Rhinolophus ferrumequinum: one gene and its partners. The protein of the gene in region 4 purifies or fractionates together with the protein of the main gene of each other region. This does not show direct contact. Links are inferred from orthologs where the notes say so. Each region holds a gene or a part of one and is shown on either strand. Other genes may lie near its edges.

Evidence for each region.
Region 1: the proteins of PRPF4B (region 4) and USP39 purify together in Homo sapiens (affinity purification with mass spectrometry; 3 studies listed by BioGRID and IntAct, with this or other methods). This does not show direct contact. The link is inferred for Rhinolophus ferrumequinum from reciprocal best matches to the Homo sapiens genes PRP4K and USP39.
Region 2: the proteins of PRPF4B (region 4) and ZC3H18 purify together in Homo sapiens (co-immunoprecipitation; 4 studies listed by BioGRID and IntAct, counting the BioPlex papers as one, with this or other methods). This does not show direct contact. The link is inferred for Rhinolophus ferrumequinum from reciprocal best matches to the Homo sapiens genes PRP4K and ZC3H18.
Region 3: the proteins of PRPF4B (region 4) and PNN purify together in Homo sapiens (affinity purification with mass spectrometry; 5 studies listed by BioGRID and IntAct, counting the BioPlex papers as one, with this or other methods). This does not show direct contact. The link is inferred for Rhinolophus ferrumequinum from reciprocal best matches to the Homo sapiens genes PRP4K and PNN.

The regions. Positions count from the first base shown.
Region 1 is NC_046296.1:8,725,528-8,733,266, forward strand, and holds the start of USP39 (U4/U6.U5 tri-snRNP-associated protein 2), read right to left. Parts: upstream 3,018-7,739; 5' UTR 2,924-3,017; coding exon 2,656-2,923; intron 420-2,655; coding exon 350-419; intron 1-349. Other genes in the region: C13H2orf68 (UPF0561 protein C2orf68 homolog), read left to right, coding at 4,550-4,656, 4,738-4,856, 5,638-5,789, 6,147-6,269.
Region 2 is NC_046298.1:33,213,595-33,221,371, reverse strand, and holds the start of ZC3H18 (zinc finger CCCH domain-containing protein 18), read right to left. Parts: upstream 3,006-7,777; 5' UTR 2,826-3,005; intron 1-2,825.
Region 3 is NC_046289.1:86,505,079-86,513,057, reverse strand, and holds the start of PNN (pinin), read right to left. Parts: upstream 3,011-7,979; 5' UTR 2,933-3,010; coding exon 2,820-2,932; intron 2,155-2,819; coding exon 2,083-2,154; intron 1,697-2,082; coding exon 1,628-1,696; intron 933-1,627; coding exon 860-932; intron 751-859; coding exon 656-750; intron 490-655; coding exon 414-489; intron 1-413. Other genes in the region: TRAPPC6B (trafficking protein particle complex subunit 6B), read left to right, coding at 7,139-7,219. UniProt on the Homo sapiens protein: Transcriptional activator binding to the E-box 1 core sequence of the E-cadherin promoter gene; the core-binding sequence is 5'CAGGTG-3'. Capable of reversing CTBP1-mediated transcription repression.
Region 4 is NC_046292.1:89,848,992-89,856,414, forward strand, and holds the start of PRPF4B (serine/threonine-protein kinase PRP4 homolog), read right to left. Parts: upstream 3,002-7,423; 5' UTR 2,939-3,001; coding exon 2,802-2,938; intron 1-2,801. UniProt on the Homo sapiens protein: Serine/threonine kinase involved in spliceosomal assembly as well as mitosis and signaling regulation. Connects chromatin mediated regulation of transcription and pre-mRNA splicing.

The DNA of each region.
Region 1 (7,739 bases), on a different chromosome or scaffold from region 4:
GAAAAAAGGGTATCAGGATGAGGTAACTAACTGCTTCAGGACATATTTTTGTCTCTTTTTTTCTCTAGTAAATCCCAGGCATCTAGAGTTGAGCCTAGCACATAGTGGGTGCTCAATGAATATTTAAAGTTGCTATCATCATTGACACTACGTATCCTGATATTTCATCACACGGATTCAAAATGAGCTACAAGCTCTTTATGCATGTGCCCACCCTAAAACAGCATGCCCTCTGACACTTTAAATTGAAGAGCAAAGATTAACAGTAAGATTAACAGGAACTTCCCAAGAGCTTCCTGCCTAGATTCCGCTGTTCTGCTGCTGCCCTCGGCATCCCTGTCCTACTGACCTGTTAATGGTATCCAGGTATGGGCAGTGGCGGCTCCTCCGGTCCTGGGAATCCACCCGGCCATTCTTTGCTGCAAGGAAAGTCATCACAGGTTGTGAAAATGGGAAACCCGTACTCAGGGGCAACTACGAGTACAAAGAAACAGGCAAAACTAATCAAGGGGAGCTCCTATACAGGTAGCCTGGCAACACCCAAAAAAAACCCACTAATGGAACAAGCCACAGAGAGAATATATTAGAAACACATATAACCCCAACAAATTATTTGTTTGCAAATTACATGGAGAAATGTACTGAAGCAATTAAAAAAAAAGCCAGACAACACAATAAAATGAGGAACACAGCCCACAAACATATTACAAGATGCTCAACCTCATCAATAATCAAGAAAATGCAAATCTTGCACAATGATGTGTGTCACACCTATCAGGGGGGAAAAATGCAATCAGAAAATTCCAAATGCTGGCGAATATGTGGAGCAATGAGAATGCTTGCGCACTGCTGGTGGGAGCGAGAACTGTTACAGCCTCTTGGAAAATAATACAGCAAGATCAAACCTGAAAATATGCAGACCCTTTGACCTGGCAATCTCTCTATCTATATACCCTAGAGAAATTTTTCCACACATGCACCAGGAGTACTTTACTAAAAAATATTTACAGCATCAATACTTGAAAGAGCCCCAAGTGGAAACAACCCAAATGTCCCCCACAAATAAAATGGAAAAATATATTTTGGTGTATCATTAATGGAACACTATGTAGCCATCTATCTGGATGTACCTCAAAAATATGGCCAGCAAAAACAAAAAAAAAGGTAAATCAGAAAACTACACAGTATGATTCCACTTATACCAAATACAAAATGAAATTATAAACAACAAAAACAGAAGTGATTAGAAAAAAATTCAGGATAGTGATTACCTAAGCAAGGAAGGAAAGCATATATCCAACTAAGGAGGAGCCTATGGGAACTTCCAAGGTTATGTACCACTTCTTAAGCTGACAGTGTTAGGAAACAATTCTCCAGGGGTCTCTCGTGTTTCTGCACATACTGTGAACAGAGGCACTAACTCCATCCAGAGGATCTTATCAAGGATGTTTATATAGTGAACAACCTTGGAAGACAGAAATAGTTATCTCCCTACAGAGCAAAGGGGAGGCAAGCTCACAGCCTATTATAAAAGACTCGGGCTCTGGAAGCTCAGAATTCCTCTACTGTAGGGCCACCCACTGGGCCAAATGGGTTCCCTTCATATTGCATTGTGGGAACTGACTTGGGGAACTGACACCAATGCCACACTCTGGCTACTGTTAATGCTGTAACAATAAACCGTCTCAGGCCCAATAGTCCCATGTCTTCCTTCAGCATGAAAGGAAAGCAGCCTAACTTGGTAGCTTGCAAATAGGATGAAATCTCAGACCCTTCACAATTCTTCACACGCAGATTTAAGAATGTACATCCACACACTTCTTTACACTGTACTTCTGCATTACATTCAGTACATCTTGGTACCTGTGATCTAGTCCATGATAAAAATAAAATGAAAACTAAAAAGACAAGTCAGTAACAACTGGGATCCAAGTGTGTCCCAGAGAAAACAATCTCCATACCACAACTATGCAAAATATCTAAGAAACAATTTCTCTTCTAAAGAAAGGGAAATCTGAGGCTGACAGAGTATTTAAGCAAAGGAAATTAGAGAATACCTTGAAATTACTAACTAGATTATGCAAAGAATATTTGTCAAGCATTTATGAGCAAGGGACTACTCTGGATCCTGTGTGTGATGCAAAATGTCAAATACAGGACGCTGAGCTAAAAAAATGTAAGAGTTAATATGAGTATATTCATATACAGATACACAGTCCTGGAAACTGAGGAACGGGATTCAAACTGAGAGGCAGGATTACAAGCCTGATCTGGCTGCTAAGGTCTGGCTAACAGGGCAGTAGGGTGCAGGCGACCAGGGTTCAGGCTCTCAAATCTGAATAGTCTTTTAATTCCAGAAATTACAGCAAGACTCAATCCTCAGGTGTTTTATAAAAACTGAAGGACATAACACCTGTAAAATAATAAGCACAATGCCTGGCCCGCGTTAGGCACTCGATAAAGGAAAGCTGCTGTTGTCGTTAGAAATCTTGTAACTATAGTTATTATTAAGACTAGTAGCATCTTCATTAAGACGCCAATCGAGTCGGGTCTCGGACACTGGTAAAGTGTGGATTTCCAGACCCACCCCGGGAAGGTTGGAAAGAAAACAGAGAACGCGTGAGTAGAGCCCGCGCCCAGCCCGGCCCCGCGCACCTCGCACCTCCCGCTCAGGCTCGGAGTCTTCGTCCGCCTCGCGCTCCCGCTTCACCCGCACAGCCGGGATGACGGGCGCCGGGGCCTCGCGCGTGCTAGGCGGGTCGACCTCCCGCTTCACGCGCACCGGACTGCCCCGGGAGCTCGGCACCTCGGTCTCCCGCTCCCGATCTCGCTCCCGCTTGACGCGACTCGAGTTGACCCGTGACTCGGACTCGCGTTTCACACGGGTGGAACCACGAGAGTCCCTCTTGGACCGGCCAGACATCGCCACTACCGGCCCAGTCGCCCAGCGCAGGAGCTAGGCACGTTCGAAGGCGCCGCAAACAGCCAATCGAGAGCGCCGCTGTTACCGAGCCCAAGGCTCTCTACGAGTCGCCGAAGGGGACAAATTATACCGGAGGAAACTGGGAAGTACCGGTACTGCCTCTGTTGTGGCCTCTTTGCGGCTGCGTGCGCACCTGAGACCGATCTGCGGGCCTACTGCCACCTTACCCGAAATTTCCAGCTTAAAGAGGCAGGAACTTTTTATTGGCTGCATAATATCTGGATCAAGGAAGCTGTCATTGAAGATACCCCAGGTATCTTCAATATACTTTGTGCCCCGAAACCAGCATGGGGCGGGGGCATCATCTCCACAGTCTCCGGGCTTCGGAGACCGACGCCCCTTGCACAGGAGAACTAGGCGACATCCCCAAATCATCTCCTTCCTGCAACAACCCGGAGTCTATATAATTCCACACTTAGAGGGTTGTTCATATTGTCACAGGCAAATGGAAACGTTGAACAAAGGGGACTTACAGTGACGCTAATAAAGCTAAGGCTTCAGGGCCTGTGACTCGCGACCCCCTTCCAGGACCCGAGACTGCTTTCTTTGTAAAGTTCTACTGAGGTGTTTTGACATACGATAAACCGCACGTTAAAGTGTGGGATCTGCTCCATCCTGCCGGGATGGATGTATGTACACTCGGAAACCATCGCCACGATCAACGTAAGGAGCCTCCCCGCCAGCCCCAAACGTGTCTGCTTTGTCACTACAGGTTAGTGTGCGTGTTCTAGACTTGCACGTACAGGAAGCACCCGGGTGTCCTTTTTGGCGCGTTTATTTTGAGATTCATCCGCGTCGTAGCAACAGCGCGTTCCTTGAGATCGCTCAGCTGTATGCCACTGTGTGGGTGCACCACAGTTTGTGCCTGTTCCAATGACAAATTCCTAATGTTTGTCCCTGTTCTAATGACAAATTCCTAATTCTGTCTATTCTTTTAAGGAGGACTGGAAGGGGGCGCCCGCTCAGACCCCTGAAAAGCCCTGAGTCCTCCCGCGGGAGCAGTTAAGACAGCTGGCCGGTGGGCGCCGAGCTGGGCGGTCGGCTGGCCGGCTGCAGAGCCCCGGCGCTGGGGCCCTGCCAGAGCACTCGCCTCACCACCTTTCTTGAGGTAGGTGCCCTCCGAGTCCCCATTTACAGATGAGGAAACTGAGGCCCCGCGGGGTCCGGTAGTCAGCCGAAATCGTGCAGCGACTCAAGTTTCACAACACCCTACCCCCAGAGAAAGGACGGGAAGGCTCCACACCGGACCTTCAGTGGTGTCATGGGTGCTGAATTGTTTGACGTTATCAGCTGTAAACCTAAAATGTTGTTTCTTCTCCATGTCACAAAGAAAAGTCCCGCCCAGGGCGTGGAAGTCGCGCACGCCCCACCTACCCCCGCGTCAGCGCCTGGAACTCAGCGCGCGGCGCCGCTCGGCCCCACGGCCCTTTCCCGACGGAAGGTCGGGGTGCGAGGCCGGAAGGCGAGCGAGAGGCGGTGCCGACCTCTCCCGGCGGGAGGGTGACTAGTGCAGCCGTTGCGGCGGCGGCGGCGGCGGCGGCGGCGGCTCCGCGCCCAGGGCTCCCGATGGCAGCGACGCCGGATCCCGGGCCGGGGCTCTGCTGCAAGCCTGGCGGGCGGCTGGACATGAGCCACGGCTTCGTGCACCACATCCGACGGAACCAGCTGGCCCGGTACCGCCCCGCCCCCGCCGTTCCCCCACCCCCAGCCCAGCGCAGCCGGGCTGTCCCTGATTCCCGCTCGGCTCTCCGCAGGGATGACTACGACAAGAAGGTGAAGCAGGCAGCCAAGGAGAAGGTGAGGAGGCGACACACGCCCGCTCCGACGAGGCCCCGCAAGCCCGACCTGCCAGTGTACCTGCCGCGACACCGAGGTGAGGCCGCCCGTCCAGCCTGCCTCCCAGCGTGCGCTGGCCACTGGCCCTCGGCCTCAATGCACTCCCTTTCTCTAAATGGGAAAAAACAAAAACCTTCTTATTCTCCAGGGTTCATTCAGTTCATCCCGTTCCTTCCTGGAACCTGCACCTCGACGCTCCCCAGTCTCCGCTCAGTGATTGTTTTTCCTGGAGGACAGGAAAGGAAGGGCTCATGGCCCCCAATTAAACGTCACTGTTACAGGACATACCTGGGAACCGGCAAGACAAACCCAGTAACAGGCCTTTTTCCCAGCTTCCCTGGACGTAGCGATTGCAGTAGTTAACGTACGACGCTAGACTTCGTGAGCATGACTTAAAGTGCTTTGAAGTTTTCTGTACGTTGTCATGTTTTCATAGGACTGCATAAGTTAGGAACTGTTCATCGTTTCTGTTTCACAGTCAGGAAAATAGGCACAGAGAGGTTAAGTAACTTCCCCAAAATCTCAGAGCTCGTAAATGGCAGAGCCTGGACTTGAACCCAGACAGAGCTCTGTTCGCCTTTCAACTGCCTACCAACCCTATTCATTAGACAGATGTGCATTGTGTGCCTACTGTGTGACAGGATTGTGCTGGCCCTAGAGCAGGGATACAAAGGTGAAACTGAGTGGTGGCACATTTCACACACATACATATATACACAAACACACACAGGGTTCATAAAAAGATGGGGGCTTTTATCTGTGGTCAGGAACTCCAGCAGCCTTCCTCTCCTCCTTCTCACTCTGGTTCATCCTTCCAGATGGCTCTACCCACCCAAGCAACCCAGACTGTGAAGAGTCCGGTGACGGCAGCAGTAGTGGTGGCTCGGAGCCAGAGCCTTCTGGCCATCAGCTCTTCTGCTTAGAATATGAGGCAGACAGCGGAGAAATCACATCAGTTATCGTGTATCAGGTACGCCTGGTGGAAACAACTACAGCCTGAAGGTCCTGGGACATGGGAGAAATCACTCCCAGACCCTGAGTCACTGTTTTCATCAGGGCCAAAGGGAAGTGTCTGCTCCACATGGAAGCACAGACTGCTGGGCAGTGCTTTTGAGCACAACTCCTGTCACACGGTGATTCTCAGTGAGCATCAGGGAGGGCTCGTGGCCCTCAGTTGAGAATCACTATTACAGGGGATACCTGGGAAATGACAGGCACTGGCAAGAAGTTGTAAGTCAGAATTCTTTGAGAGTGTTGTCTAGGGACAGGGCAGGTTGCCTTTCCAGAGAGGCCAGGCCCTGAGCTTCCTGACTCTTCCTCCACATAGGACGATGACCCAGGAAGGGTGAGTGAGGAGGTGTCAGCACACACGCCTCTGGATCCATCCATGCGAGAGGCCCTCGAGTTGCGCATCCAGGAGGAGATTGCAAAGCGCCAGAGCCGACACTGACCAGGCTGAAAGCATTGCCAGCAGGCGAGACTCACTGCCCAGGGAGCTCACCCCTAGTTTGGGGGTGCCAGGACCAGTCTGTGCTGATCTTGAGACACACACACACTCATACCCCACAGCTGCTGCACCCACGGGAAAAGAGTGTTGCAGGATCATGCCTGGCCACGTCCCTTGTAGCCACTCTTTCTTGGGTATTGGCCCATTTGACCAGCCTCGTATTTTGGAATTTTTGAGAATTTTATTTGGCTAGCTTGGTGTTCTCCAAGCAGAGACTCCAGGGAGAGCTGAGGTTTATGAAGCCTGTGCCAACATGCTTTCTCACTGAGTTCATGTGCCCTGCCACACCTGGCTCCTGCTGCTCCACCCAGCTCTTTGAGCTATGTTTGTTATTTTATGGTTCTTTGCTACTGTGCTTCTGCTCACTTCCATACATCTTTTCCTCCATATTTTTTTCAGCTGTTTCTTTGTTCTTTTCTTTCCTTCACCCGTTTGTATCAGAGTTCATCAGTTCCATCCACCCCCAACCTCCCAATGTGACTGCACCTCCAGCTGCTCAGAACTTTGGAGGTGTGGGGTTTGGGGGGGGATCTACCTTTCTGACAAGCTCTCCCAGTAATTCTGATACCAATAAAGTGGGAGATCTTCATTTTGGGGTCTGACTTGCAAGCATGTCTCCCTCCCCTTCCGTGGATTTTGCAAGTTTCTGTCAGCCCCACTGATTTGCACTGTCTAGATAAGGAAACCTACGTAGGAAGATGATGAACTAAACTGCAAGGATTTCTTGCAGCAAAACCTCCCTTGGTTAGGACAATAGAATTCCATCCTTCAACCTTATCCCTAAAGGGGAATTATCAAAACAAGCTTGAAACAGCCTCTCCCAATGTGATTTCACAGTTGAACATACATACAAAGAGAAATTCAACATTAGCAATAATTGCCTGTTTGGAACCCTAGTTGCAAACAAACAAAAAAGACCCAAACAACACACCAGAGGGAGGAAAATGAACCTCTCATCTTTTCCTCTGCTCCATGTTTTCTCCTTTCCTACCTCCCAAGAGTATATAAACTCCCAAGAGACCCTTAAAATAAAGATCCCAGGAATATCACTGCTTTCACCTAAGTGGACATTTTTCCTAACGGAGGGTTAGGCTAAGGTCTGAGAAATCCACAAGACATCCTGTGCACTGCAATTCCAAGCTACTTCAATTGTCCAGCACATCAGCCTAACCTCAGTGACTTGAAATTCGGGGTTTACGTGAGCCGGTGAGCACTGAAACTTCTTGAAACAAAAATATGTCCCCTGCCTCAGGGGTTTTTCCACATCAGGGTCTCAAGATCTGTCTGGCTGGTCCATATCAGCAGCTTTTCTCTTAAAGGACACCTGAGGGCACTCTTAAACTACATAATTAAATTGCAGCAAGTCACAGCTTGAAGTGACAGAAGAATGCCGGGAAGGTGAGCCAAGTGGAT
Region 2 (7,777 bases), on a different chromosome or scaffold from region 4:
CCTGAGAAAAACCTGGATACCACAATTTATCTTCTAAGTTAGGATCTCCTGAGGTCCATTCATGGTCCCCAGAGTAAGAACTCTTGCTCTAACTATATTGTACATTATTCTATTATGTATCCATAATTACCGCACTGTACTGAGATTATTTGTTTGCAAAGTCTGTTGGGAGGCTCCACTGCCCCCTATGAAGTGCCTGACTAGAGGGCTCACACTCACCTGTGTTCCCTAGGCTCAGCAAATGGCTGGCGTGTAGTAGCAGACTTCTCATGTGATTTACTGTCTAAACTAGGACGTGTCTGAGACTGAAAAGGGGCACTGTTAACAATTACAGCAGGCATGAACAGGGTCTGTCCGCAGCTCATGGAGACATCCAGTCACCCTCGGAGGCCCTGACAATTTCTTGAGGAAAGGAGTCACATCTCTTCTTTCCTGGGAATTGACAATCTGAGGATGCTCACAAGTGAACACCTTGCAGAGGGAAATACGCCAAAGAAGTTCCCTGTTATCAGAAACAACCCAAGTCACACCATGCTACACAGAACAGGAAGAGTGTCACTGGGGAATCAGAAGATGGCTTGCGTTCCCGGACATGCTCTGGGCAGGTTAACTGTCTCTCTAGGTGTCTGTGTCCTAAATTAATTTGAGATGAACTCCATTTAACAAATATCTGAATGTGTGCTCTATGTCAGATGGTAGGAAAAACACTGTTAAGTGTAGACAATGAAATGGAGGGCACTCTGCTCATGACTTCACTAAGTCCCAGGTGCCCAGATTTTACTGTTTGTTCTTCTCACACAATTACCCTGTAATCGAGGATTCTTGGCAAAGTTTAGAACTAATTCTTTAATCTTTTGATCCATAAGATGATGAACCTGCCCAGAGAACTGAATAACAACTATCCATCACTCACTGTGTCTCCACTGCCTACTGCATCTGGCAAATGGTGACTAATAAATGTTTGTTGAATTAATAAATGACAAAAGCTCATTACCTGATAAACTACCTGTTGCGTACTAAAAAGAAATTTGAAATAAGAGCCTCATTTTTAGAAGACTATACCAGCACTCAAGCATAGAGTGGGAGCTGTCTCATTTCCCAGCAGTCACTCTGGAAGGCTGCATATGGATTACAATAGCTCTGTTAAAGCACAGAACATTTTGGTAACTACCCTCCTGAGTGACCTTTCGAACCTGCAAAACACTCTCTTGGTGCTCTCAGTAGCAACAAATCTTTCTCCTCTCAAGGTGGGTCACTTTGACAAACCACAGGAAGCCATTCAGAGCCTGGTCTGGTAAGTGAGCTGAGTTATTAAGCAAGGTAAGACAATGTTTGGTCAAACCCAGGGTGTGACTACTGAATAAGACAGATTTTCTCACATGGCTTATGTATTTACTACCAAAACAGGAGTTCTCAAGAGGTTTTTGGCAAAGGAGCACCAATAAAATACAAGGATAACTTTTTGGGATAACAGCTTTAAATAGAGCAGTCTCTACCTGAATGCCTAAGTTCTGGCACATAACTTCACGTACTTACGTCACCTAAAGGAAAGATGTTGAGCGTGCTGACAAACACTACCCCCCAACTGACTAAGCCTGACCACCAAAATACTCCAGGAGGAAGCACTCACCTTGAGACGATGGATAGCTGTGCAAAACTAAAAACAAAAAACCTATTTTAAACGTGAGCAAGGTCATAGCTTACCTGTTTGCTCTCTGCAATGATTCCACAAAGCTTTCTTACAACGTTTTGAGCATTTCCCACCCAAAACTGGAGAGGCATTCCAGCCTTCGGGACACAGCTGATTAGTTTCCAGAGCTGGCTGGGTTCCACGTCTTAGATTGTAAAATCAGCAGACCAAGACTCCCCTCCCAGCTCTTGGAAGTGGGAATCAGCCTGGGTCCAGTCTCTCCCTGAGAATCCCAAACTCTGCTCTGGACAAGAACCAATCCATGGGCTGTATGATGGAGGCGAGTCTCACGGGAGAAATGAGAGCCACTGCTACGCCCCTGAACAGCACTTCAGATGTCAAACACCCTCTTCCTCCTTTTGCCCCAAATGAATCTGAAGACTGACCTACTCTTACAATTGCGTCTGCTGGCATTTAAAACGATCAACCTCTCCCCCCAGCAAACTCAGCTGTCACACAGCAGTGAGGAGAACTTAAGTTTCAGCAAGAGCAAGACTGGAAGTCTCAAAGTCTGAGGTCTTCCAGCATCATACTGACTGCAGTTAGTTTACACCAAGGATTCAGCATTCTCTGGGCTCCTATCCAAAGGGGCAAGGAAATCCCATATTCCTGAGAAAGTGGCGCCCGTCTCTAGGCACAGCCTACACCTCCCACCTGTGCACACTGGGGGAGCTGAGAGAGCAAGTTCCAGGAGGCTCCAGAGAGCTCGAAGTTCCCGAAGAGCTCATCCCCAGTCCGGGCCGGCAGCCTCCGGGGGACGAACTTGCGTGCCTACTCCCACATTTGTGGGCGGCAAACATGTGCCCCGCAAACGTCCCGGAAGAGAAATGACAGCTTCAAGAGAATCAACTCCACCGCGGGGCGCAGAGGCAGCCGCGGGGAGCTCGGGATCTGTGGGGTTTCAGGACCCCCAGGACCAGCTCGCGCAGACGGAACGCGGGATCTTGTCTATCTCAGCGTCCCCTTCCCGGGGTCCGAGAACCACGCTTCGGCCGGGGGCGCAGCCTGGAGCACTCCCCGGAGGCGGCGGCGGCGAGCTCCCCGGCCTGGGCTCCGCGCCGCCGCCACGCTCCCCTCCTGGCCGCCTCGGCCTCCTCACCGCCGGCCCAGATGCCCCGCCGCCGCCACCGCTTACCTCAGCGCGAGGGCGGGGAGGGGGCCACGGTTCCGCTGGGGTCCGGCCGGCGCAGGGAAGACGTCCCTCGGCCCTTCCGCTCTTTACAGGCTCCGGGTTGAGGCGCGACGCGGGCGGAACAAACGGGCTCCACTACCCCCGGGGGCCGGCCATTGTGCTACGTCATCAAGCCGCGACCGTCCTGCGGACCGGCGGGCTTCCCTCGCTCGCCCCGCCTTCCGCCCGCTTCCTTCCGGCCTCCGCGCGCTCCCGCCGGTGCGCGGCACGCGCCCGAGCCCGCCAGGGCGCAGGCGCCGCCCGAGGCCCCGCCCCAGGGGTGTTCTGGGTTAGTGTGCGGCTGGCGGGGTGACGGCGCCTGCGGAGAGGGCTTTTGGCGCCAGGCGGTCAAGTGACACCCCGAGCCCACGTTCCCGCCCTGGGTTCTCGGTGGGGAGCTCCGCCCGGCGCAGCGATGGGTGGTTTCGCCCTCGCAGCTTTCAATTTTAACTTCCCTCCGACTAACGAATTCCCGTTCTAATAAACGTAAGCACCCACTAAAAAATGAATATTTTTTGAGATACTGAGTTTAAATATCAAAGCCTGAACGTTTGTAACTATTTCCGTGGAACTCAATAGCTCCTGCTCTATTAAATATAGTCAGTTCAACACAAAATTAATCATTTTTGAGATACTGAGTTTGAGTATAAAAACTTAAAAATTTTAAAACTATTCCTGCTTTCTTAAGAATAATCAGCTGAGAACCTCCTACCCTGTTGGTGGGAATGTAAACTGATACAGCCGTTATGGAAACCAGTATGGAGATTCCTTAAAAAATTAAGACTAGAACTACCACGTGATCCAGCAATTCCACTTCTGGGTATTTACCTGAGGAATATGAAAACACTAATTTGAAAAGATATCTGCACTCCCATGTTTGTTGCAGTATTATTGTAATAATAATATGGAAGCAACTTGTATCTAGGTAGCCGAATGGATAAAGAACAAGTAGTATACATGTTTATATTCAAGGGACTATTATTCAGCGGTAAGAAATGTGAAATCCTACCATTTGTGACAACATGGATGGACCTTGAGGGTATTATGCTAAGTGAAATAAATCAGAGAAGGACAAATACCATATGATTTCACTCATGTGCAATGTAAAACAAAATAAACAAAAAACAAAAACAGACAAAACAAAACAAAAGCAAACTCAGAGAGACAGAGACGACAGACCTGTGGTTACCAGAGGGAAAGGGGATGGAGGGAAGGCGAAACAGGTAAAAGGGTCAATTGCGTGGTGACAGATGGAAACGACTTTTGGTGGTGAGCAGGGTGTAATACATATCTGTAGGTCAAGAATTAGGACATGGGTTAGCTGATCCTCTGCTTTGAGGTTTCTTCCAGGCTAAGACTAAACATTTAAAACAATTTCCATGGGACTAAATAACTTCCACTCTATTAAATATAAACAGTTCAACACAAAATTAATCATTTTGAGACATGGAGTGAGTTTAAATACTAAAGCTTAAACATTTTTAACTATTTCCATCAGACTAAAGAGCTCCACATCTTTTAAATGGGATGAGCTTACCAGGGTAACTTTTCATGATTAGAAGGACATGGTGTGGTACTTGGGGTATTTTTGCATCTTACCAATTGCCTTCAGGGCGGCCTGCAGAGGATCAAACTGCGCTCTCCATTTAGAGACAAGGAGCCCACTTTTAGAAGGGTACTGGGCTTGATTGAATGCTCTGCTATCCCTGCCTTCAAATTCTTAATCATTTTTGAACAAGGGGCCCATGTTTTAATTTTGCACTAGACCCTGCAAATTATGTAGCTGGTCCTGGCGGTAACTAAGGGTTTTGGGGGATGGTGAGCAAAGCAGACCTTTCTTCACCCCATCTTCCACCTCCAGAAAAACTCCTCCTCCTTGGGGCAGACTGCCACCATTTTGCCCACAAATATGAGTGTCTGGCCCACAGTGAAGTTGAATTAACTCAGGTGTTTGCCTTATGTTATCTGAATGAATGAATGAGCAAGGGAAGAAATGAAGGCATTAACATAGAGTTGTCATGTGACCGAGCAATGCCACTCCCAGGTATCTAATCCAAGAGAAATGAAACACACATGCACACAAAAACCTGTACACAACTGTTCATAGCTGTATCATTCACAATACCCCAAAGTGGAAGCAGCCTAGATGTCTATCAACTGATGATGGATAAATAAAATGTGGTCTATGCGCACCATGGAATATTATTCAGCCATATAAAGGAATGAAGTCCCCTCTCCCTCTGTGTCTCCCTCCCAATCTCTATCCCGTGAGGACACACGTAGGTGATGTCTGCAAGCCGGGAAGGCGGCTCTCACCAGAGCCAGAACCGAATCAAGCCAGCCTCCTGATCTTGGATGTCTAGTTTCTAGAACTGTGAGAAAATAAATTTCTGTTGTTTAAGGCTCCCAGCCTATGGTTTTATTATGGCAGCCTGAGCCGACTTACATATTTCATTTACATGAAATATCCAGAAGAGGCAAATCCATAGAGCCAGAACTTAGATTAGTGGTTACCAGAGCCGAAGGAGGGGAAATACGGAGTCACTGCTAAATGGGGATAAAGTTTATTTTAGGAGTGATGAAAATATTCTGAAATTAGGCAGTGGTGGTGGTTGTACAACTTTGTGGATATACTAAAAACCACTGAAGTATGCATTTTAAAAGGGTGAATTTTATGGCATCTGAATGATACCTTAATGAAACTATTATTTTTCTAAGAAGAAAAGAAATGAAGGGAAACAGGAGAGAAGGGGAGAAAATGCAGGGGGATAGCTGAGAGGAGGTGAGGGTGAAAAAGAGGAAAGGGCTGGGAGAGGTGAGGAGAGGCAAATGGGGCAGGTCTCCTGCCCAGTACCCGTGACTCTACTTCCCAACTGAGTCTTGAATTGTCTTCCCTTTTCTCCATCCCCCTTGACTCTGGTTCTAGCTACCACCACTTGCTCTGTCACTGTCCCCTGACCCCCACCCTCCCCCAGATATCCAGAGCCATCTTTCTATAATCTCGGGTTTGTTTCAGTCTCACTACTCCAGCCTGAGGCCCCCCCCCCCAGGGGCTCCCTCTGCACCCAAACACCAAAGCCTGATGTACCTGCTCTTTGTAATCTGGCCCCACCAGCCTGGCCTGCCAGTCTTCATGCTCCCTCTCTGGCTCTCAACTCGCTCCACACTTTTTCTTTGCACATGCCACTCCTGCTGCCTGGAACACTGTTCCCACCTTTCCCTCTAGCTAACTTTTTTTTTTTAAAGGACCCATCAGCTCCAAGTCAAGTAGTTGTTTCAATCTAACTGTGGAGGGCGCAGCTCACACTGGCCCATGCAGGGATCGAACCAGCAACCCTGGTGTTACAAGCATGGTGCTCTAACCAACTGAGCTAACTGGCCACCCCTCATCTAGCTAACTTTTAATCATTCTTCAGGTTTCACCTTGAATGGACCACCTACCAGAGCCCTGGTCTATTTCTGCAGGTGGGCACGAGCTCCTGGAGAGCAGGATTGCAGTGATCTCCCTGTAACCTTGGGTCAGGCATTGAGTGGCTAATCACAATGTTTGCAACATCTAGTTGTGTGTGTGTGTGTGTGTGTGTGTGTGTGTGTGTGTGTGTGTTTATTGGGGTGGAGGGGAGCATTTAGAAAGATAGAAAATGGCTGAGGTCGGATTAGAACCCAGGTCTGTCTGCCCCAGGTGTGAGAGTGAAAGCAACATCCCTCTAAGCCTCAGTTTTCCTGTTCTGTAAAGTGGGGCTATTCACACCTGCTGCAGAATGAAGAGACCACACGGTAACAGGCACAAACTTTGTTGGTTTGTGTTGCTCTTCACTCCAGCAGGCCTTGTGCCGAGCTCCTCGTGGATAAAGCCCCCATTGTTATGTCCATTTTATAGTTGGGGAAATAGAAGTGTAAAGTCACAGAGCTGCGATTTCAGCCCAGGCAGCTGGACTACAAGACCCAAGCCTTTTCTGACATAATGAACGAGGCTGTCTCCAGATTGTTACTCTGGCTGTGACATATGTAAAAGAAATGTAAACATCTGTTTTATCATTTGGGGTCACTGTCACTGATGCTGATGGGCATATTCCCCCACATTCTGAGTGCTGACAGGCTGTGGTCACATCCCGCAAGGGCCACTGGGTCAGTCAAGGACAACACCTGCACTGGCATGACTTACCATGTAAGATAGCTGCCACCACTGAGCTGTGACAGACCGTGGAACACGGAATCTGAATTTAACACGGGTGGTAAGCTACACTGAGCCACAACCACGTTGGCGAACGATGTGGTATTGCTGAGAGCAGTACCTGGTGACCAGCAATTCCACCCCAGGCATACACCTAGACAGGCGTTCTCAAGGTGGGGTCCCTGGACTAAAAGCAGCACCTGGGGACTTGTTAGGAATGCACATTCTCAGGCTCCATCCCAGAACTGCTGCATCAGAAGCTCTGGCAGTAGGGCCAGCAGTGTGCATGTTAACAGGCCCCGGGTATTTTGCTGCTTCAGGGAACGTGAGAACCACTAGACTGGTGCCTCTCTTGTCTATGGGCACGAGAAGACATGATCAGGACATTCATAGATTTTTCAGTAGTAACTGAAAGAAAAGCAAACACAGAGAAATGATCTGGAGAACTAAGTTTGCGAACTCATCCTAGAAAAAGTGCTGCATACCTCATTGCTGAATATCACTGCAGTCACCTTCAAAGTACTCCCCTTGAGAAGCTATGCACCGACGCCAGCGCCTAGTCCACACTTCAAAGCAATTTTGGAACTCTTTTTCTGGAATGGCCATCAGAGCTGTCGTCGTATTACCCTTGATGACCTGAATGTCATCAAAATGTCTTCCTTCCAATATTTCCTTTATCTTTGGGTAAAGAAAGAAGTCATTGGGGGCCAGATCGGGTGAGTGAGGAGGGTGTTCCAATACA
Region 3 (7,979 bases), on a different chromosome or scaffold from region 4:
AATACTAAGTATTGCTTCTGAGTGTGTAAATAAGTCTAAAAATTAGAATTACTAGTTTTTAGTAATGATCAATGAGTTTAATTCCCTTGCTGAAGAAAAAGCACTGGGGTAAAGAAATGAAGTGACTTGTCCAAGACCACAAAATAAGACTGTTAACAGAGCTGAGGCCAGAGCTCAAGTTCTCCTGAGTCACAGACCAGGGTGCTTAACTCTACAGAGAAGTTCACTCAATTACTTCCAAGTACCTCAGAAAAAGATCATCTAACAATTCCAGAAAGTTATGTAAGTTTATCCTTGGATTCATTTTAGGCTTGCAATTACACCTTAAGAGAGCTTTTCCGCTCTTTTTAAAAGCATGTTTAAGCCAACTACTTTGATAAGTTAACAAAGCAAAGGAGAAACTGCATAAATACCCTTTCAGTAGCAACAGTAGATTCTTGTTTAAATTTCTGAAGGGTGCCCATCAACAAGCCAAATATTCGCCGGTTCCTAAAGAACAGAAAAAGAAAATTCAATTTCAATAGGATCTACTTCATTTAAACCTGCCATTTCCTAAAAAGAAATGTACTATAGCCATTTGGACAATTGCTTAAGTTTTCTTAAAATTGCATTATTTAACAGGAATTCTTTCCCCACAAAAAGTAACTAAAGATACCTTTGCTTTCCCTTTTCATCCATATTTTGATCCTGGATAAGGTCTCTCCGTGTGCGTTCTTTGGAGGTAGCTACAACTGAAGACTGCAAAGCTGGCTACAGGAGAAAAGAAAATCTCAGTAATTTAACAAGCACATGGGTGGTACTCTTTGCAGTAACATGAAAATACTATATTCATCGTCTAAGTTCTTTTAATCTCAATTACCTTTTTAACATCATCATCTTCTGGGTCGCTTTCTTGGCGTGATTCTCTCCGTGTCCGACGCTCCCCGCCCAGCCTGTCATAGGAAAATAATTTAAGTAACCACCACAGAATCTGACTTAGTTGCCTACCAAGGCCAAATGACTCCTTTTTCTAAGACTCATTTCCAGAAGCCTTATTCTATTATCTCCATCCCATTTTATTCTTTGCTCCATTAGTGAAAAGACAAAACCTTCAGTGAGCTCCTATGCATCTAGAATAACATATCTTTGAAATGTTAAAGTAATTTTCTAGACCTCACCCTCCCGAAAGACAGAGGCACAAGACTCTAGAGCACAAGACCACAGTATCCCTCATTGTTATCTTACTCCTCGCATAGTCTCTGTACTATAAATGTTAATTACTAACTATCCTATACCCACCGATGTAAGTCTCTCCATTTTCCTTTCTACCCAATCCTACAGATCTGTTTTGCTTTCTCTCACGTCCTTAATCTACCACCAATAGATTTCATATAACCCTCCCTATGTCTTCTCCTTTGATTCGAATGTATAAAATAAGCTGCAAAATGGCCATTCTCCCAAGCATTTTCTTAAAATGCTGAAGTTTTGCTTCAGGGCATGTCCTCAAAATTTTGGTTCAAACGCTTAAAAAACTTTTCTGCAGGCTGGACATTCTTTCTTTGACAATATTCGTTAAATATATATATATATGCTACCTCAGAAGACAGAGCATGTAAGTGTGCCTTCACAATCTTTTTTTCCAACATACCTACTGACTGCCCCTTCAAGGTCTCTCTGTTTGGCTGGGGGTCCTCCTCCACTATCTGAGAATCCACGCCTGCAATTAAAAATGTCCAACACAAAGTACTTGAAATTTAATGTAAATATTTCCATTTAGCAAGAAAAATTAAAAGTTTAAATATCCTTTCAATGAAAGCAACCTTAAATGGACATTCACTCCAAGATGCTTTTATAGCATTTTTTAAAAAACAACAAAAAAATTAAGTTCGCACAAAACTGGTACAGTTACATTCTCCAATCTCTAGTTTTACATGTAAGTGAAGCTCCAAGTATAACTACCCAGAAAACTACAGTTAATCATAGCTTTAAACAAACATTTGTAACATTGGTTCTACCACAAATTTTGTTTAAAAAGATACATTAATTTAGTACAAAAAGCACCAACAGTTTTAACATACGAATTAAGTCCTAAGGAAATCTTACCTCAGCAATAAACTACCACGTCCTCTACCTCCACCAGGACCAGAAAGGGCCAGCAATCTGGCTTGGATGGGCCTACAAAATATTTACAAATCAGTACAAAAATCACATGTGGACACATCTAATGGCCCCAAATAACGTTCACCAGTGCGGTTCATCATACGGAGAAAATAAACAGAAAAGTTCTAAACATACGAATCAAATCCACGTGTTTGAAAACGAACAGGAAGTACTATTTTAACTTCCTTGCTCTTTCAAGATCAGTAGCACAAATTGTATTTACCTCGATGCCACTAGACATTAACAAGCTTGGATCATGTCCTAATTTCGCCAATTCCAAGGAAGCTGCACGTGGGCAAGAACCTGGGACGAGGGGGCGAACCGTGTCCCGGGAGGGTCTCCGGGTCAGTGGCCGCCGGAGGGAGAAGGGGCTTTGTGCTGCAGTTCCGGGCCTGCAGGGCCGAGGGCGGGAATCCGCAGTCCGGGCCTTCCCACAGGCCGGGAAGCCATCCCGCCGCACGCAGGCCCGGTTTTCCTTCCTCACGCACCTGAGCCCGGGAACCTTTAGCGGGGGCCTTGGAGACTACCCCACCTCACCGAGGACCGGGTTCTATCGCCGCCCCGGGAAGAGGCCTCGATGTTCCAGCCTTCTCCTAAGGTAGCTGGTCGCCCTCCCCGCCCCCCATTCACCCGGCTTGATGGCTGCCTCTCGGAGCCGGCATTTCCCATCCCGTCTTTACCTCACGTCATTCGGATCCCGCCCGGTGAGCTTGCGAATATTCTCATCCACGTTCTTTAGGCTTTCTTTGGCCTTTTCTAGCTGCTCCTGTAAAGTTCTCACTGCGACCGCCATCTTCTCCCCGCAGCAGGATTCGAGACTGCTCCACAGGCCGCGCCTGCCTGTGCCGCGCCGCTAGACGCGTGGGGATTGACAGCTGGGTTCAGCCAATGACGGTAGGCGTTGTTTTTCGGCCTCAACCATTCAGCAACCGGAAGGGGAGAAACTACCGGCCTTTGTGACTCTGGGCCAATGAGAAGTCCGCTAAGGCGGTCACCTCCCTCCCCAATTAGCTGCGAGTGGCTGGGCTCAGAGTCTAGCGCAGAGCTGGGGCGGGTTTGTGAGTCCTTGCGTCCTGGGAGACGCGAGCTTGCGGGCCTGCTCTTCTGTCCCATAGCGTGGAGTTTTGCAACCTTTTTAACCTGTGATATGACGTGCCTTACGTCGTTTTAACCACCTAATCACATCAGAGTAAGACCGAGGCAAGTCTATCCTCCCCCGTCCAGTATGGAGATTAGGATAAGATGCGACAGTTCTGTTGGTGCGCATGCCCAGAAGGAGTGTGTGGAGGTGCGCGCTTCCCTTGATCAGATTAAACCAAAATGAGCAGAGGGAAGTAAAGAATGAAGAAACAGGAAAAGTCATTAATCGTTATAGCTAACAGTTATTTTCGGTGTGAAAATAACACTGTGGTCTATGTGTCATTGCCCAGGCAGAGTCTCTGCTTTACAAATTCCTAGGAAACCTTGTTGGGTGGCAGGCATGCTATGGTGTCCTGTGGTTCATCAGGGAGAGTAGGGTAGGGCCAAAGGCTGCGAGGTCATGGTGCCTGGGAAACCCCATGAAGATTGTTGATGGGACCCTGTTAACTATATATTGACACTGCCGTGCCCATGTGCTGCTCAGGCAGGGTGTGCTGGACATCAAAGTAAAGATATGCTTCCTTGGGACCCAAGTGGTAAGTAAGATTGGCCCTAAGAAGCTCCTGCCTGACCATGTGAGCATTGTGGAACCCAGAGATGAGATACTACCAACCACCCCCATCTCGGAACAGAAAGGTAGGAAGCCAGAGTCGCCTGCCATGCCCCAGCCAGTACCCACAGCATAACAGGATCTCCTTGGCGGCTGGATCTGGAGTCTGGAAGTTGCTCTGAAGACCTTTAATAAAATCTTTTAAAAAGATTAAAACAAAAAGCAAAAAACCGCAACACAACACTGTGTGAAACGCTTTGCATGCCCTATGCCTCTCAAAAGCTGAAATAAAATACCAGTTTTTACTGGTGAGGAAATTGAGTCTGGGGATTCAGTAACTGCCCCTAGGTCTTGCCAGCCTAGAATCACCATCAGATCAGACCCTGTGCAAGACTGTACTAGAAGAAAGAAAGTGACGGTGAAACAGATGAGGCAGGCATTAGCCTCTCTACCTGGCCTAGAGCTGGTTAGTTTAAAATAGGGTTAGGGAATCAGTGCTATTGTTGGTTGTGTGTGAGAAAGAGTATTGTCCAACTTCTGGTTCTGCTCTACCTGGACTGCCAACATGGGAACCAGTTTTATTCCAGAAATATATTTGCAAATTACAGTTCAGAAAACATTTTCCCACAGAAACAGTGTTATGAATAACCTTTGGATTCTTATTTTCCATCTGACTACCAGGCGTCCTACTTGCACCAAGCATTAGCAGGCCAATTGTATTTAACTCAAGCTACCATTTTAATTCATCCAACCACTTTTAAAAACTCCTTCTGTGTATAAGCGGTAACCTAGGCTATCAGCATAAAGCCTAGAGCAAGATAGCTGTGGTTATAGTTTCCCTGGAGTTTATAAGCTCTTCAGGGAGCAAAGATCACTCATGTACTCGTTCATTCATTCAACAAATATTTGTTGTGTGCCTGTTATTTCTATGTGCCAGGCACTATTTCAAGCACTTAGATACCTCAGTGTGCAATAAAGATCTCTGCCCTCAAGGAGGTTGGGGGCAGAAAGAATGTGGAGACAAAAATCAGTATGTTGTGTAGCATGTTAGTGAAAGAGAGCAGAATATGACTCCCCAAAATGTGCCATTTTGGCATGTGGATTATTTTGGGTTGAAGGCAATCAAGACCCAGCAGACTCAACAAAAACTTTTACTTTCCCTTTAACTGCCTAAAATAATTTAGTTAGGGGGCCTGGTCCAGAAAGAGAGATATTACCAGAGATAACTTTTTATTTGAAAGACCTGCATAGCAGAGCAAACATCTGCTCTTCTTGTGAATTGCCTTACTTTCATTTATAGCACCAGGTCCCTAGTATTTCATTCCTTAGCTCAGGATGGCAAATAAGCCTCAGTTGCCTGACTACCTTTGAGGTCTCATGTTTTCATGGGGCGCCCATATGCATAGAATTAAATTTGTTAATCTATTTTATGTCAATTATTAGATCATCCAAAATACCTAGAAGGGTAGAAGGAAAACTTTTCCACTCCAACATTAGAAACAGAAGTGCTATTGAAAACAGAAAAAGTAAAGCTAGGTAAGAGGGATGAGGATTGATAAATAATTATTTCATTCTGATTGTGAGCATACTTAATCTCGATCCATATTACAATCCTATGTGGTAGGCAGTACATGAAGCACCAAATGTGGTAACAGTAGATCCTAACTACCAATTATAACAGTGTTTCCATGACAGAATGCTTTTAGAGTTAATAAAAAAACAGGATCTAACCAAAAGTAGGCTTCCATAGGATCTAATACTAGGATCCTGGGCAATTTAACATAGTCTGCTTTATGGGGGAGAATCAGTGGGATGCTGTGTTCAACATTTAGTAGGTGCTCAATAAATATTAGTTTCCCCTCTATTCTCCAGAATATTCTATGAAACCCCTGTTATTGTAGTTTGAGAAATCAATCTTAGTAAGTTGGTCAGTTGCTTACTCTTTGACCTCAATGGTGAATTTGGACTTCTGTTCCTCGACGGTGGTGATGAAGGGAGAGTGCAATTGGGACATAAAGGACCTGACTTCTGAAAAAATTAAGATTATGGTTACAAAATTACACTATTTAGTATTTTCAAAGGCTTAAGTGGAACTTTTATGCTTGATTTATATGATCAAATAGACTGATCCAAACATTAGAAGGGATATGTAAAAAAACAAACAAAAAACAAACAAAAACCTACCATAATTCTAGTTATGAAACATGATCTTAAATTCCTGTGAAAGAATATAAAGAGTTGAGAGGTTGTTAACAATTTGAGGAAACTCAATATGTTAATTTTGGGGAAGCAATGAATTAATTGGGAAGAAAATTGGCTTTGTGAATTACTAAGAACTAATCACATGCTAAGCAACAGGTTTAAGCCAGATTTGCCAAATTTAAGAGGTGCATATGATCTAAGATATGTATTTGCACCTCTGTAGGAGTTAAATTGCCCATGTGTCATAAATTTATACGAACTCCATCCCAAAATGACATAGCTTTTCTGAAGTTTATAGCACTTTTTCCCTTCACCTAATCCTCTGATTAATTTGCATTTTCTGGTTCAAGAGTATCCTGTTCTTTCTTTACTCCATCTGCCTTGTCCCTTACACCCCACTCCCCGTAAATTTCTTGGGGGCCAAAATGGCTTTAAATCTTTTTGCATACCTAGGCTGAATCCAGGATAATTTCTCATATATATTTAAAATTTATAGCCTGAAGATTTTTGAGTTATTCATTCTTTCTACAGTTTTTCATATTGAGGAACATGATGGCAGGAAGTGGAAGCTTTTGATGAAGTGAATAGACATTCTTTAAAGTTTAACTAACTCATAAGTAATTAACTCAGAGATGGCAGGAGGAGCTTCTTTGTCTTATTTTGACAGCTGCCCCTCCTTCCCCAGTATCTCAAGGGCGCCAAGCAGTCCCCCGCCACCGCCCCCCGCCCCCGCCGAGGAGGAACTCTGCGATCATAGAGCTGGCGGAATGCCGGGGTAGAGGGGACCGGAAGTTGTTGGTTTCGCCGCTAGCCCTGTGGCCACATACAGGCTTCGTGGGTTCGGTTTGGTTCCCGCAAGTGTTACACTATCTCGTTCCTCCCGAGGGCTTGGTGGCCCTGGGGTGGGGTGCGCTCGCCCTGGTACTGGGCTCAGTCCAGTACCAGCCTTCCGGAAGCGGAGTGAATTCTTCGGTCTCCTAGCAACGAGGGACGGGCTGCGGACTGAGGGAGCGGCGGTGCAGCCCGAATCGCTCAGGCGCTGGCCGGAACCCCCGAGCCTGGCCCAAACGGGAGCCGAAAACCAGAGCTTGGAAGAATAAGCAGGAAATGGCGGACGAGGCGTTGTTTTTGCTTCTCCACAACGAGATGGTGTCTGGAGTGTACAAGTCCGCGGAGCATGGGGAGGTGGTGAGTGCTGTCAACACACCCTTGAGGTCCTTCTGCGATGACAGTTTCCCCTCAGTTCTTTCCTTCGATCCCTGTCCCATCGCCACCCCACGCCTCCCGTGGTGTAGACAAGCTGTTCTACCTGCAGGTATCCTAAGGCCTCGAACCTTTCAGCTGTCCTCGGTCTTTTATCCTCTTCTCCCTCGCATCTTCTACTATTTGGTACTTTTTTGTCAATTCCCGTACTTGTATCCTGCAGGCCGCAAGTTTTCTTACTTTTAGTGTTGTCTCTACCATGATTAAAGGCAGGGTTAACATCTTTATTTCGGACCCCCTACTTAGTTCTGCCACTTCCAGCACTTCTGAGCCGTCCACTGCACAGACCCGTCCAGCCTGAGAATCTTGTCCCTCCCTCCTTATCCCTAACCCTCAATACCACTCCACAAAACTTGAAGACAGAAGCCTAATAACATTTGAGGTCAAAGCAAAGTTTTCAGTCATTACTATATTTAGGAAACAAATCAATTAATGTAAAATTTTTTTTATTTAATGCCCATTATATCTGTCAGAGCTAGTTCTAGGTGCTGGGGATAGATAGATAGATAGATAGATAGGTAGAGACATAGATAGATAGATATAGCTAGCTAGCTAGCTAGATATAGATAGATAGATAGATAGATATAGATATAGATAGTAATGAAGGAAACAATGACCCCATTCTCTTGGAGGTTACTTCAAATATGTGGCAGTCTTCATTCACTCACTATTTAGCGTGTGTTGT
Region 4 (7,423 bases):
GGGGACGCCTATATATAAATTCCATACACATAAATTTACATTTTGCAATTTAACATTACACATTTAGCAGTACATGTCTCTAACCTGGTCTGTAACAGGTTCATCATAAAACAAAACTGAGAGCTGAGTAACATCCTTCAAATCACATTATTTGGAACAGAGCTTAATTAGAAGTGCTGACAATATGGCACTGTTTAACAGTATATATTTGTTTTTTCAAATGCAATATACAAGTTTCACCATTCAAACAATCCAGGTCTTAGAGCATCTAGCACAATGAAAATAGCCATGGAACAATTTTAAAATAAAGTGACCAATTACCAACCACTAGCGTTATTTTAACTTTCTCTGTCACGTGTTTTTTTTCAATGAATATTCTTTTTGACATTTTATTTGGAGGGCATGCAATTTATGCTTTACAGACAAAGAATGGTGAGCAAAATGAATGCCATTGCTTCTTTACAAAGAAAGTAATTCGGCCTGTTTCTCTAACAAGTTAAACTACTTTAATACAGAACTAGTTAGATGTAAAAATAAGAATGAATTAAAAAGACCAACTGGTGTTAAAACAAACTCTTCAGCCTACACCTTTTCCAGATTAGGTTTGGGAAATTAAGCTTCAAAGAATTAGAACTGTCACATCAAAAAATGGCTTTTTCCGGGACACTGAAAATAAATAAAAATGATTTCAAACCTTAAAGGCTATTTTTAAAATTATCCACAATGTGTAGTGGCAGACCAGACTGTATAGTAGTTAGGAGCAGGGTTCTAGAACCAGACTGCCTGGGTTTAAATCTTGGATCTGTCACTTAGTACGACCTTGGACAAGTGAACTTAATCTCTCTGTGCTTCAGTATCATCATCTGTAAAACATGGGCGATAACAGTATCCACTACCATAGGGTTGTTATAAGGATTAAATGAGTTAATATCTGTTCAGTGCTTTGAACAGTACCTAGTGCAAATAAGTCAATGCATATAAAAATGTAAATGTTTAAAACCATCAAAAAGACTGAGCTAAAGAAACTGACAAATATAAAAGTCACTAAACAGCCTTCAAGAAGCTTGAAAACTGCTTTTCGTATTTACTCTTTCTAAATGTTTTACTTTGAATAGATTCCATATAAACTATTCAGTGTCTTCTAAAGAACTGTTTAGACACTATATTCCAGCATTCACTATGAGCAGTATACACAGTACTTGCTTTCATATCAAATTATTATTTTCTTTGCTAATCATTTTCAAATAATTGAAAGTGGAACACATATAGACCAAATATTCCATTTGTACCAAGTGGTCTGGGGGAAGTGGAGGTAGAATTAAAGACTATCTCAGTGTCATTCATATTGCAGACCTAAATAAAGTTATTTATTACTATCAAATGTAGGATTTCAGTATGTGAATAAAATATGCCTGAACCATTCCTCAAAATGAATCTGTAGCGTCCCTGAAATTAAATGAATGGACATATTGCTTTAGAACTTTAAACAGATTACTACAATAATCAACTGCATAGCATTAGATTTGTACTGTATTGGCATAAATACTGTAACTATGCCACACTGTGAACTCGACAGAAACAAAGGCAAAGTCTTGTTAAAACTTTAGAATCAATTTGCTTTCTTCTAAGTCAAATTGTGAAAATAATAAAGCAGCTTTCAAAAACCCTTTACAAAAAACAGTGTAATTCTGTCTGGCTGAGTAAAGCAAATGATTGAAGGATCCAAAACTCTTGCACAGCAATGAAGTGTTGGGCCGTCTGGTGATAAAGATTTCTCCTATCTTTCAATCCCAAGTTGCTGGGAGACTATATCTACCTCTTTCCAAAAATGGCTGGAAACAAATCAGATAATGCTCATGCAAAGAATGGTCGCTATAGGAATATTGTTTTAAAATCCATTCTCTTTTATGTTCTTCAATTTTCCTAGCATAAACACAAAAAACAAAATACTGCTTTCAGTTAAGCAATGGTAAGCCTTTGCAGTATATACAAGTATGTTTTTACTCGACCACATCGATTCTTACATTAGTTTAATTATACACAAAGTACTTGGGTTTGGAAGTAGCTAACAATTTCCACTACTTCTTCCACTAGTTCTCCCAAAGAAGTCTTACAAACTCAGGACAAAAATGCCAGGTCTCAAAACCAAGGACTTAATCTTACTTTGTCTCACGTTAACCAATTGGCAAATGCTGTCAATAGGCGGGGGGGAGGGAAGGGGGATACCGGGTGAATGCTGGAATAAAGAAAACAGGGGTGGGGAGACGAAGTGCACAAACTATAGCAGGGGATGGTCAAACAGGATGGCCTTAGCACCCCTTTTCCTCTCCGCTTTCTGGTTCTAAAACGGACACCAGTAGCAGGACAAGCCAAGTACTGTACGCCGAAGAAAAGTCTTAGGGCTTGCTCCGCTGCCGCCACTGTCCCTTGGGTGCCTACCCAGGGAGCTCCGGTCGGTCCCGGAGGGAGGAATAGGAAGATGCGACCGCACATTCGGGGTAGCCGCCGCGCGCACGGGACCTGTAGGGGCCGCTCGCGCCTATGCTTCCCAGGGCAACGACGCGCGGCAGGCCGCGGCCGCCTCCGACCCAACAGACGCGGCCTCGGGGACAGCGAAGCTTGCAGGCCGCCCGCCTGCACCCCACGCTTCCCGCCCCACAACGTATAGAGCGGGGAAAGGCAAAGTTTCGCTCTCGCCGTTAGGCCTGAACTTTCCCGCCCTACTGTGCAAGTCTCCACTGTTTGCCACTCGGCAGTCCCCAGGGCTCCGGCCTTCCGTACCACTCAAAGAGACTACTTACTCTGGCTGTTCCCGCAGAGACTGAGCCTCCACAGCGGCCATCTTGAACTTCCTGACTCCTCGGCGGCGGTGGCGGCGGCAGCCCGGACCGTGGAGGCTAGTGGAAGTAGAGGAAAAGGGAGCAGAGCCGTCGCGCATGTGCTAACCGCGTAAAGAACCGTGGAGCTCTGAGTCCGCTCTAAGAATCCGGATATAAAAGTGCATCCGGGGACAGCGCGCACGAACGTCATGACGCAACTTCCGGGACGAAGGGGCGTCGGGAGGTGTAGGCGGTACCTGCTAAGGATGTGAGGCCGGGTTATTTAGGCTAACTAGTCAGTGTCAGAACCCAACCTTTAGTTCTCGAAACTTGTTGGGGACGAATACAAAGGGATTGAGATATCGGGATCAGATGTGCGGTTCCGGGGACTCGTTTCACTGTGGGCGCAGAAGTTGAGTTAAAAGTCTCAAACGAGGACAAACAAGATGATACTGCTTCTGGGCTGCGTTGGAGGCATAGTGAATGTCTTTTTACCGGCTAGTTAATTCTATCAGAGGGAAAGTTTGTGGAAAGGCATATTAAAAAGACTGTAAAGTTAGGGCCGCACCTAGAAAGAAAATGTATTTTACTATGTAACTATTACTGATACATTTATTTGAAACTTTTGAACTTTGTTTCAGCTTTTGCCAAGTCCAGGGGTAGGATTCAGGAGTCATTAGGTTCAGTGGTTCTGTGAACTGAATTAGTAATGTTTTTGGTTCACATTATCTGATTTGTGTTTTTCTATAATAATGAACTCTACAATAATGGGACTAAATTAAATATTCTATGAGAAAACATTTACTGGCTCTTGGAGAGATTTCAGCACCATGTAGGATTTTACATTCTCTGTGTGCGCGTATCTGTCTGTCTCGCCTCTCTCTCTCTCTCTCTCTCTCTCTCTCTCTCTCTCTCTCTCTCTCTCTCTCTCTCTCTCTCTCTGTCTCTCTCTCTCTCTCAAAAAAAAAAAAAAGTATCATTCCCCATAATCTGGAACCTGAAAGCAGACTGATGATCACTTTCATTCTTGTAATCAACTGATTTGGGGTTTATCCTAGAACTTTGAGGTTGGAATATTAGACCTTCTTATATATCTTGATTCTCAACAGGGAAGAGGTAGAAATATTCTTACAAAATAAGTACAATGGTACCCCGGTTTTTGAACATCTCCGTTGAGGAATATTTCAGTTTACGAACGCTGTAAATTTTATGGATCTATGGTATCATTAGATAGTAAAATTCATGCTAAATTTGCAGTTTTAGGGTTTGATTTTAAAGGTCTGGAATTGATTAATCCATTTTGCATTACTTTCTATGGGGAAACCGTGCCCGGTTTTCGAATGTTTCAGAACTCGAATGGTCTTCCGAAACGGATTACATTCAGAAACCGAGGTACCACTGTACCTGGTTGGTTGATTCCCAAGCAAGTTAAAATGTTAAACGTTTTCCCCTCATACACTCTATTAATATAGACTACTAAATTACTCCTTGGATAATTATTGATTTTTGTGGTTTTTCCCCCACCCCACACTCCATTATAGCATTTCTTTATAGTACAGTCCTTAATTACATTGTTTTCATGAAGGATTTCTCTCTTTCTCCTTAACAATCAAGTTCAGGTATAATAACTTGAAAGATTTCTTTCAAAGAGAAATGTTTTCAGAAATATGTTTAAAATGATGTATAATTCAACCATATGTTTATTTATGTACCAATAGTGTATATGTTGGGATTTCACAGTTCTAATTGTTCATACCATTAGATTCTCATCCCTATATAATTGTTCAAAAGTATTATGAATTCAGCCTTGTATTTACCATTTATTATATTATCTGTCCCCATGAAGGCAAGGCTATGTGTCATTGTGTCAAGAAGAGCTCTAATGTTATTAAAATAACAAAACATTCGTAAATTATTTTTAAACAATTTTAAAATTAAACGACCATAGTGTGTTTACTATAAACCTATTACAGATCTCTTCTTGGAAATAAATGCAAACTTATAAGACATCTCATATTGGATATAAAATTGAATAATATACTTTTAGGCAAAGGAAGCCTAGCAAACTGGTGTGAAGAAGTAAGATAACTTGCTTGTGATGACTCAGTTTTAAGTGGGAACGCAGGTTTTGAACTAAAATCTAATTCCTGAGTGTGTGCTCTTTCCTTCTTACCATGCTGCTTCCCACTGAAATGTCATTTGTTTAGCGTTTACTTATTGAGGACAGAGCTCTTTGATATTTTTTTGAGTAATGGGAATGAAAAGACCACTGGATTGGCATCCAGAAATGTCTTATTTTTCTCAAGGTCCAGAGGCTGTAGTCTCTTTCTTGTTGCTGACTAGTGGAGAGCACATAGGCCTAGCTCAATTTCTTCAACCGTATTATCTTCCCTCCTCTACGACTCTTGACAGTACGCTTAATGTGAAGATTAAACTAAGCACACTGAATATGGGGAAGCATAGATGGGGGAAATAGTCGCTAAGGTTGTTCAGGGTTGAAACCAGATTATGACTGGCTAAAGTTTAGATTTGGACAAACTATTGAAATTTTTAAAGAAAGAACATAGTAAAAATAAAGTTTCAGAAAATAATACTGGCAAAATATTTCCTTTAAAATTTTCTCACCAAATTGGCTTGCAAGGTACTACCAGTTTGGAGTACAGTAGGAAGGGGACTTGTGAAGGATTCACCAGAAACTTCAGACACCCTGGACAGCCAGAAATACGAACTGGTGAGTCCTAGAGCAAATTAAGCCTGAAACATCTCTGGAGGCAAATATGACAAAACTGAAGCTGTCCTACTTTGGGCACATCATGAGAAGGCAGGGTTCTTTGGAAAAGACAGTAATGCTGGGGAAAATAGAAGGCAGCAGTAAAAGATGAAGAGCAAGTATGAGATGGATTGACTCCATAAAGAAACCATAGGTATGAGTCTATAGGAGCTGAACAGGGCTATTGAGGACAGGATGTTTATGGAAATCATTCATTCACAGGATTGCCAGGAGACGGAGCCAGTCAATACATAAAGCACACACACACATACGCACTATGTTGCTATTGTAATTTTGGAAGAATAGCGTTTTTTGAAGGTGGAGTTAAAGCAGGCATGCACTTACAACTTTAATCATTCAGCAAGCATTTATTAGCGACAGACTTAAGCCCAACTTTCCATTTTCAAACTTGAAGCCCAGTGTTTCATTCTTGCTGCTTTCCCTCGGCTTCTTTGAGGACCTTTGCTCCAGAATGCTGCCCTGGCAGGGGCCATTTCGTAGGACGAGCGCCAGAGGCGCAGCTTAGCGGCTGAACACGCCCGCTGTAGCAGTTCCCTGGAGGGGCGGGGCCTCGGTGGGCGCTCGACCCGGGAGTCGCGTGCGTGCGTAAGAGCGTGCGAGCGTCGGAGGAAAGGGCTAGGCGGACCTGAAGCGAGTGGTAGTTCCCAGTCAGGGCCACTCCAGGCCCGGAAACCGCGGAGCTGGGCTGAGAGCTGAGTGCTTCTGGTCAGCGTCCACACCGCCCACTCGAGGAATCCGCTCCCTCGCGCCCTGAGCCCGCTCTCTTCAGCCTCGCTCCCCCTCGGCGCTATAACCGCCATTACAGTCGAGGCGGTTTTCTGGAGTCGGCCGGCCAGCCGGCAGACCCGCCTAGTAAGTAGATGGAGAGGCCCGTCGGTCCTGCCAGGCTCCGCGTCCCTAACACACTCTGTTGAACCCCGCAGAGGCCGCATTCGGTAGAGCCGGGGTCGACTCTTCTGCAGCAGTCTTGTGAAAGCCAAGGGCTTGCCGCCTTACCACTAAACAGTATCAGAAAAGTTAATGGCCCGGGACAAGGTTTTGGGGACAAGCATGCATTTTTTGAACATTTCGACTTTTGCTTACCATCTTTGCTTTTTAAGTATTGTTACTTTAATACAGATACACATTACAGAAATAGTTTGGAAATATCTTTGAATTATGTTCCTCCCGTGGAAAGGGATTATTAAACTAAATTACGCTGTCATCTTCAATCCAGTTAAGCTGTTAATAGGCTCATTATAACGTAGGCTACAAACAAAAATAGAGTACCATAAAATCCTTTGAAGAAAATTGCACATGGAGGGTCCCCAGATGTCAAAAGAATGTAGATTATCTTTTCAATAATACTTAAGGTTTTATCTAGTTTAAATCTACACTTGGAATTACTACTGTGTTTCCCAGAAAATAAGACCTAGCCGGACCATCAGCTCTAATGCGTCTTTTGGAGCAAAAATTAATATAAGACCCGGCCTTATATTGTATTATATAACATCCAGTCTTATAGCAAAATAAGACCGGGTCTTATATTAATTTTTGCTCCAAAAGACGCATTAGAGCTGATGGTCCGGCTAGGTCTTATTTTCCGGGAAACACGGTAGCTGTTTGGGAAGACAGAGTTTTTTTCCTTCATTACAAAACAAGAACTTTTTCCTTTGTTCCATGAAAATTAATTTTGTTTTTTTGTTTTAAAACAGTTCTGATGTGTTCATCAAAATCTGGAAAATACGACAAAGCAAAAGGAAACAAAAACCACTCAGTTCCATTACCCAAACTGAACCAACATTAACTTACTGGCTTATTTTAGTTTTACTTC